Linked DNA regions of Macaca mulatta. The protein of the gene in region 1 interacts with the protein of each later gene in a biochemical or structural test. Links are inferred from orthologs where the notes say so. Each region holds a gene or a part of one and is shown in the gene's direction. Other genes may lie near its edges. The genes, in order: HUS1 and RHNO1.

Region 1 (4,283 bases):
CATCCATGTCCCTGCAAAGGGCATGAACTCATCCTTTTATATGGCTGTATAGTATTCCATGGTGTATATGTCCAACTTGTCTTTATCCAGTCTGTTATTGATGGACATTTGGGATGGTTCCAAGTCTTTGCTATTGTGAATAGTGCCACAATAAACATAACGTGTGCATGTGTCTTTAAAAATAATCTAGGCCTGGCACAGTGGCTCATGCCCATAATCCCAGCACTTTGGGATTATAGCCGAGATCGCACCACTGCACTCCAGCCTGGGCAATAGAGGGAGACTCCGTCTAAAAAAAAAAAAAATTAACCTTGCCTGGTAGCTTGTGCCTGTAATCCCAACTACTCGGGAAGCTGAGGCAGGAGAATCCCTTGAACCCAGGAAGTGGAGGTTGCAGAGGTCGGAGATCACGCCATTGCACTCCAGCCTGGGTAACAGAGCCAGACTCCGTCTCAAAATCATCATCATCATCATCATCATCTGCATTGTCTTGATTCTATATGTCAAGTTAAAGACAACGGTCTAGGCTCCTATTTGCAGAGGGCATTAAAAATAACAATTAACATAGATAATCTTTAGTCTTTGAAAAACCAAATTAGATACAATTGTTGCTTCATTTCCCCCTTTAAAATTTCTTTCCTTTTAAAAAAACCTAATGACATTATTTATGCTAATAAGAATTTTATCGGATGTAATAAAGTTCATCTTGAGGCAAACTGCAGAATTACCACTTAACGTCAGTGTTCTTTAAGCATCCCGTCTTTACCAACTAGCCAGTAATATGTTAAATTTTTTAAAAAGTCATTTAAAACAGTTTTCAGAACCTTAATCAACCAAGATGCTTCAATACCAAAGTACCGGTACCGTCATCGGAGGCTAGAGGGTTTAAAGCTGCTCTACCTTAGAGAGGTATATTTAAGATAATATTGTTTAACCTTTATAAACGACTAATTTTATTTGGATATTTTTAAATAGCACTTGGAGTAGGTGTCACAAAATTCTTTCAAAACGTGAATTCTCAGAACCACCTCCCCAAATCTGGGGCTTGAAGCCACCGCCTCACTAAAAGCAGATCCCACATTACCCCGGAGCGCCGAGGCATACCCGGAGACTGGGACCCCACCTCCTCGGGGCGTGACCTGTGATCCTTGACCCGTGACCCCACCTTCTCTGGGGCGTGACCCCTGGCCCCACCACCCCAGGGGCGTGGCCCGGAGGCAATCCTGGCAAGAGCCGGGTAGCCCGAGCCGGGCGGAACCACTGTGCGCGCCGCCGTGTTTCCGGGCCGGGACACTCAGGGCGCGACACTTATCTGTTACCCACAGAAGCCGTCGCGGCTGCGGCAGGCGCGGCCATGAGGTTTCGGGCTAAGATCGTGGACGGGGCCTGTCTGAACCACTTCACACGTGAGCAGGGAGGCCGGAGGGGAGCGAGGGAGGAACGGAAGGAAGCAGTGAGCGCGCGGTGGGGACCGCGGAGGAAGATCAGAGCGGGGATGGGCGGTGGAAGGGGCAGCGAGATGAGCCGCGGGAGGGGCCGCGGGAGGATGGGGCAGGCATAGGGGTGCTGGTGGAGGCCGCGGGATGATGGGCCGGGAGTGCGCGGGTCGGATCGTAGGGCACTTGGGGTGAAGACGGCTTTCAAGGGACGTTTCTGAAACTTGATTCCGATCACGCGGCTTTAAAAGCAAGCGGCCACTGCTCCCACAGACGGCTTTATCAGGCATTGACATTCCTTCAAGGCCCCATTCGTCCCTCCACCCTGACAGTGCCTAACCTTGCATTGAACTCTGTACTGCGGTACCCAGTAGTCAATAAGTTCGTGTTAAATGAATGAATGACTAGTAGGTGCCTGTTTTTTTATTTGAGCACTGATGATGTATGCTGTACATCTCCCCGGGTTTGTTGGGAGAATTGCGTGACATCATACTTTCCAGTGTGATACCAATGTAAGTGGTTATTTTTCCACCGAGAAGTTGCACCATGATGAACAAGAAATTCTGTAAAATAAGTTGGTCTCTAGGATACATGATGTGCGTTTTAGTGATTCCTTATTTTAACCCCTGCTTTAGGAATCAGTAACATGATAGCCAAGCTTGCCAAAACCTGCACCCTCCGCATCAGCCCTGATAAGCTTAACTTCATCCTTTGTGACAAGCTGGCTAATGGAGGAGTGAGCATGTGGTGTGAGCTGGAACAGGTGAGCAAAAACTTCTGAGAGGCCTGCAATCTGCAGATTGTCTCTGGAAAGACCACAAGTGCCCTGCCTCATCCCCCATGTTTTTCCCTTAGGAGAACTTCTTCAACGAATTTCAAATGGAGGGTGTCTCTGCAGAAAACAATGAGATTTATTTAGAGCTAACATCGGAAAACTTATCTCGAGCCTTGAAAACTGCCCAGAATGCCAGAGCCTTGAAAATCAAACTGACTAATAAACACTTTCCCTGCCTCACAGTCTCCGTGGAGCTGGTGAGTAGGAGAGTCAGGGTTTCAGAAATTTCCCACAGAAGTCTTGGCTTCGAAGGAATAGACATAGTTAGCCTAGCCTCTTTAGCAATAAATATTGTTGAAAGCTATTTGGTTTATTTAAATTTAAAGAGCTGGTCCATAACTATATTTTGCATTAGAGTCAGTTCCTCCTCATTTTAAAATAGTGTTGTTATCCTATGCATTCGGCTAGACTGCTGCTTTTTCCAAGCCATAAAACTTCCAGCCTCTCTATTTCTTGTAGTGGTATTGTCACCTTGTCTAGAAATCATGGTTTCTATGCATTTTCACCGTTGACACATTTTCTCCCCACTCCTACCCTGCCTCATCTGCTCTGATAACCTTTAAATGGCCCCTCATTGTTCAGTACACATATGTTTTATATGCTACTGCCAGATGAATTTAGTGCACAGCTGTCCTCCAAACACACAAATACACAACCTCATGCGCACACATACAACCCAGAGTTGCTCTTGTTACTCATGGAATGAGGTTCGTATTTCCTTTTTTTTTCCGAGACTGAGTCTCTCTCTTGTCACCCAGGCTGGAGTGCAGTGGTGCGATCTCGGCTCACTGCAACCTCCGCCTCCCAGGTTCAAGTGATTTTCATGCCTCAGCCTCCCAAGCAGCTGGGATTACAGGCGCCCACCACCACACCCGGCTAATTTTTGTATTTTTTTAGTAGAGTTGGGGTTTCACCATGTTGGCCAGGCTGGTCTTGAACTCCTGACCTCAAGTGATCCACCTACCTCGTCCTCTCAAAGGCCTCCCAAAGTGCTGCGATTATAGGCATGAACCACCGCGCCCGACCCAACTTTTCTTCATAACTCTCGACTCTGCAGTCAGGCAGTTCTTAGAGCTAATTAGGGTATTTCATGTCACAACATAAGTTTGTTATGTTTTTCCTATTAAGGAAAAGCAAGATAGTAACGTATAATATTTTATGTCCAAAAGTGCAAGATATTTTGTTCTGCGAGTCTCATAGAAGCCCCTAGAAGTAAATATAGTTTGCCTTTTAACTGTTTAGAAACTGCAGCCCCCTGAGTGTCCTATGCCCAAAGAGTGGCCTTCTCTTGGTTGCATCAACATAGCAGGCTTGCTTCTTTCTGCCTCATGGCTTTACATGTGCTGTTTCCCCAGCCTGAAGCCCTGTCCCCTTGTTCCTGTCTTCCCACGGCTGCTGCTTTTGGTGGTATCTGAAATGTCACCTCGTCAGTCTAAGGAAACTCCCCCACACTCACTCTGGTCACTGTGGTTTGCTTTCTCACGACTCTAATGAGCATGTCATGCAATTTCATTTGTTTGCATTTTTATTGATCTGTTTGTTCCACTGGAATATTGAGGACCTTTTTGTCTTATTTACCACACTTCCCAGTTCCTGAAAGTACCCAGAGTCTGTTCCGTAAATATTGGCACCATCAATATTGGTCGAATGGCTTTTCAGTGAATAAATTGACAGCATTCCACTTAGATTTGGCATTTCAACTTTTTTGTCCTCGGGTCTTTGGGTGGTTTTGTTGTTGCTTAATATTAACAACATAAAAATATTTTTAAATTAATTCTTTTCTTGGCAGTTATCTATGTCAAGCAGTAGCCGCATTGTGACACATGACATCCCTATAAAGGTGATTCCTAGGAAATTGTGGAAGGACTTGCAAGAACCGGTGGTCCCAGATCCTGATGTAGGTGATGCCTGCAATCCTGTTGTACACCCCACATTAAATGGCATGACTTGAATTCTCTAATTTCAGTTGTAGTCTTGCAGTATATTTTATTTTTAAAGGATTCTTAAGGAAA
Region 2 (3,409 bases), on another chromosome or scaffold:
CAACGGGAAAGTAGTGTAGTAAAAGGGCCAGACAAAAACATAAGCTTGGCTTGGGAGTATTTAATACATGTAACTTATTCAGGACTGCTTGCAAGAACCATAATACCTGCTACAGGACTGTGGAAGAAACCTAAACATCAGAATCTTGTGGATGAGAGTAGGAATGAACATTTATTGAACAGTCATTATATGCCAGGTCCTCTGCTAGTTCCTCCCCCCTGTGCTTGGAGTTGGCTTTGCATTATTTACTGAGGGCCTTCTTTGTTCCAGGCATTCTGCTAGGTGCTGGGAATCAAGAACAAGACCGCTGGTCTCTACCCTCATGAAGTTTAAAGATAAGTTATATCTAGGCCAGTCATTGTGGCTCACGCCTGTAATCCCAGCACTTTGGGAGGCTGAGGCGGGTGGATCACTTGAGGTCAGGAGTTTGAGACCAGTCTGACCAACATGGCAAAAACCTGACTCTACTAAAAATACAAAAATTGGCTGGGTGCCGTGGCTCATGCCTGTAATCCCAGCACTTTGGGAGGCCAAGGCAGGTGGATAACTTGAGGTCAGGAGTTCAAGGTCAACCTGCTCAAAATGGTAAAATTCCGTCTCTACAAAATATACAAAAAGTAGCTGGGCATGGTGGTGCGTGCCTGTAATCCCAGCTACACGGGAAGCTGAGGCAGTAGAATTGCTTGCATCAGGGAGGCAGAAGTTGCAGTGAGCAGAGCAGAGTGCCATTACACTCCAGCCTGGGTGACAAGAGCGAAACTCTGTCTCAAAAAAAAAAAAAAAAAATATATATATATATATACACACACACACACACACACACACATAGCTGGGCGTGGTGGCAGGCGCCTGTAGTCCTGGCTACTCAGGAAGCTGAAGCAGGAGAATCGCTGGAACCTGGGAGGCAGAAGTTGCAGTGAGCTGAGATTATGCCACTGCACTCCAGTCTAGATGTCGGATTGAGACTCCATCCCAGGGGGAAAAACGTTATATCCCTGTGGTGTGATGAACGGAAAGAGACATCATCCCCTTTCCTACACACGAGGAAGCTGAAGGCCAGAGAGATGGAATAATTTGCCGAAAGCATCCTGTTACTATCCCATTAGACAGCTATTTTAGTTTTGTGTTCATTACTACATTAGACCCCGATTTAAGAGTCTGGTCATCAGATATAGTTTCCTCTCTTAGGTTAGTACTTAGTTAGGCTCACCTCACTTTTTTTTTTTTTTTTTAAAGGTATCACCTGATTTTGATACAACAGCAGGAAGCTTGTTCCCAGCCTACCGGAAACACCACCACCAAAACCGGGCGAGACATTCAAGTCGAAAATCTACCACCTCCAAGTTTCCACATCTAACTTTTGAGAGTCCGCAGTCTTCCAATTCAGAGACATTGGGGATCCCCTTAATCCGGGAGTGCCCCAGTGAATCAGAAAAGGATGTTTCCAGAAGACCCTTAGTTCCAGTGCTCAGTCCCCAAAGCTGTGGGGACATGTCAGCACAGGCACTTCCGAGCTTACCTTATGTGTTCATTCCACCTGATATCCAGACCCCAGAGTCATCGTCTGTGAAGGAAGAACTCATTCCCCGGGATCAGAAGGAAAATAGCCTTCCAAGCTGCTCTCTTCACACTGGCACTCCTGATAGCCCAGAGCCTGGACCTGTTCTGGTTGAAGACACCCCCGAAGACAAGTATGGAATAAAGGTCACGTGGAGGAGACGACAGCACCTGCTTGCTTACCTCAGGGAGAGAGGGAAGCTGAGCAGAAGCCAATTCCTTGTGAAAAGCTGACTGCCATCAGCAATCTCAATAGAAAAGAGACATGTTTTTTGGAGTCATAAAGGAATTCAATTCCCAGGGGTTTTTTTTGTTTGTTTGTTTTATTTTGTTTTGTATTTTGAGATGTAATATCGCTCTGTTGCCCAGGCTGGAGTGCAGTGGTATGATCGCATCTCACTGCAACCTCCACTTCCTGGGTTCAAGCAATGCTCCTGCCTCAGCCTCCCCAGTAGCTGGGATTACAGGCACCTGCCACCATGCCTGGCTAATTTTTTTGTATTTTTAGTAGAGATGAGGTTTCTCCATGTTGGCCAGGCTGGTTTCAAAATCCTGACCTCAATTCATCTGCTGACCTGGACCTTCCAAAGTGCTGGGATTACAGGCGTGAGCCACCGCGCCCAGCCGAGATTTGTTTTCTAAGATACTTTGTGTCATGAACAGTTGAGTTTAGTGTCATGAACTATTCACTTTATATTTTTCTTGTATTAACTGTTTAAATTTTTAAAATATCTTGTAGTAACTCTTTAAAATGTATGTAAGTAAATGGCTACAGAAAGTTTTTTTAGAGAATCCTGCTTCTGTCAGTAATACAGCAATATTACCCCATCCACTAAAGGTCTTTGTCTCCTTAACCACTACTTGTTAATCCTTTAATCACCTCATTCAAACCAATTCATTCTGCATTTTTGAGTACCAGCTCTTGTCAGGCTCAATGGCAGCTTCTATGAGCTGATGGATGGAAAAAAATCAAACTGTGACTCTGTGGTTGACTGCCACCTCTGCAACCTTGACTCATCTGCTGAAAAGGCAAGAAGAAGAAAGGGCAGCAAGCCCTGTTTTAGGGACTATATGAGATCAGGGAAGATAAAGGGGACGTAGATGAGTTCTTTAGGATTGCCTATGTTTTGAGTTTTTGTTTCTAACTGAAGAAATCTATCAATATTAAATAGGGTGAGAAAATGATTTCTTAGAGTAACTGTTCAACTGTGTATAAATAAATAAGGAAAGTTTTCAATGAATATTACTTATTGTAATTAATGCAGAAGGACTTCCCTAGTCAACCGAATGTCTCAGATGGCCTTTTACTCAGATAAGTACATCTCATTAAACCCCATTCATCCAGCATTCATTCAGCTGGACCTACTGTGTCAGGTCCAGCCCCAACTAGATCAAGCAGGGATTACTCTGCATATTTTACAGATGGGAATTTGACGCAGAGAATGAACCATACACAGGGTCACACAGTGAGTGCAGGCTGACCCAGGCAGTGTAACGGTCCACTCAGCGTGTGCCTCCTAAAGTTCTAACTTGTAGGTTCAAAACCAATGTGGGAAACAACTTTGACCTTAGAATGCCATAAAGCCATTTGTGCAGAGACTCGTCAGGACTTAGGATGTTCTGTAGGGATGATGTGCATGTCGGTAGGGAGAAAGGGACTGACATTTGGGGACGGGATTTATTGGAGACAGAGTACACTTTTAGACAGGGGCTTCCACTGTGGGCTATGGATGTTTGAGGAAGGCCCACAGGCTGTAGAAAGGTAGATGGAAACAGTCTCCAGGACGGGCCCATGCCTGTAATCCCAGCACTTTGGGAGGCGGAGGCAGGTGGATCATTTGAGGTCAGGAGT

What was found.
Region 2: the proteins of HUS1 (region 1) and RHNO1 form a complex in vitro, tested with the Homo sapiens proteins (2 studies listed by BioGRID). The link is inferred for Macaca mulatta from reciprocal best matches to the Homo sapiens genes HUS1 and RHNO1.

Annotation. Positions count from the first base shown.
Region 1 is NC_133408.1:80,603,553-80,607,835, forward strand, and holds the start of HUS1 (checkpoint protein HUS1), read left to right. Parts: upstream 1-1,317; 5' UTR 1,318-1,354; coding exon 1,355-1,406; intron 1,407-2,071; coding exon 2,072-2,199; intron 2,200-2,291; coding exon 2,292-2,468; intron 2,469-4,060; coding exon 4,061-4,168; intron 4,169-4,283. UniProt on the Homo sapiens protein: Component of the 9-1-1 cell-cycle checkpoint response complex that plays a major role in DNA repair. The 9-1-1 complex is recruited to DNA lesion upon damage by the RAD17-replication factor C (RFC) clamp loader complex.
Region 2 is NC_133416.1:3,787,203-3,790,611, forward strand, and holds the end of RHNO1 (RAD9, HUS1, RAD1-interacting nuclear orphan protein 1), read left to right. Parts: intron 1-1,236; coding exon 1,237-1,791; 3' UTR 1,792-2,798; downstream 2,799-3,409. UniProt on the Homo sapiens protein: Involved in microhomology-mediated end-joining (MMEJ) DNA repair by promoting recruitment of polymerase theta (POLQ) to DNA damage sites during mitosis.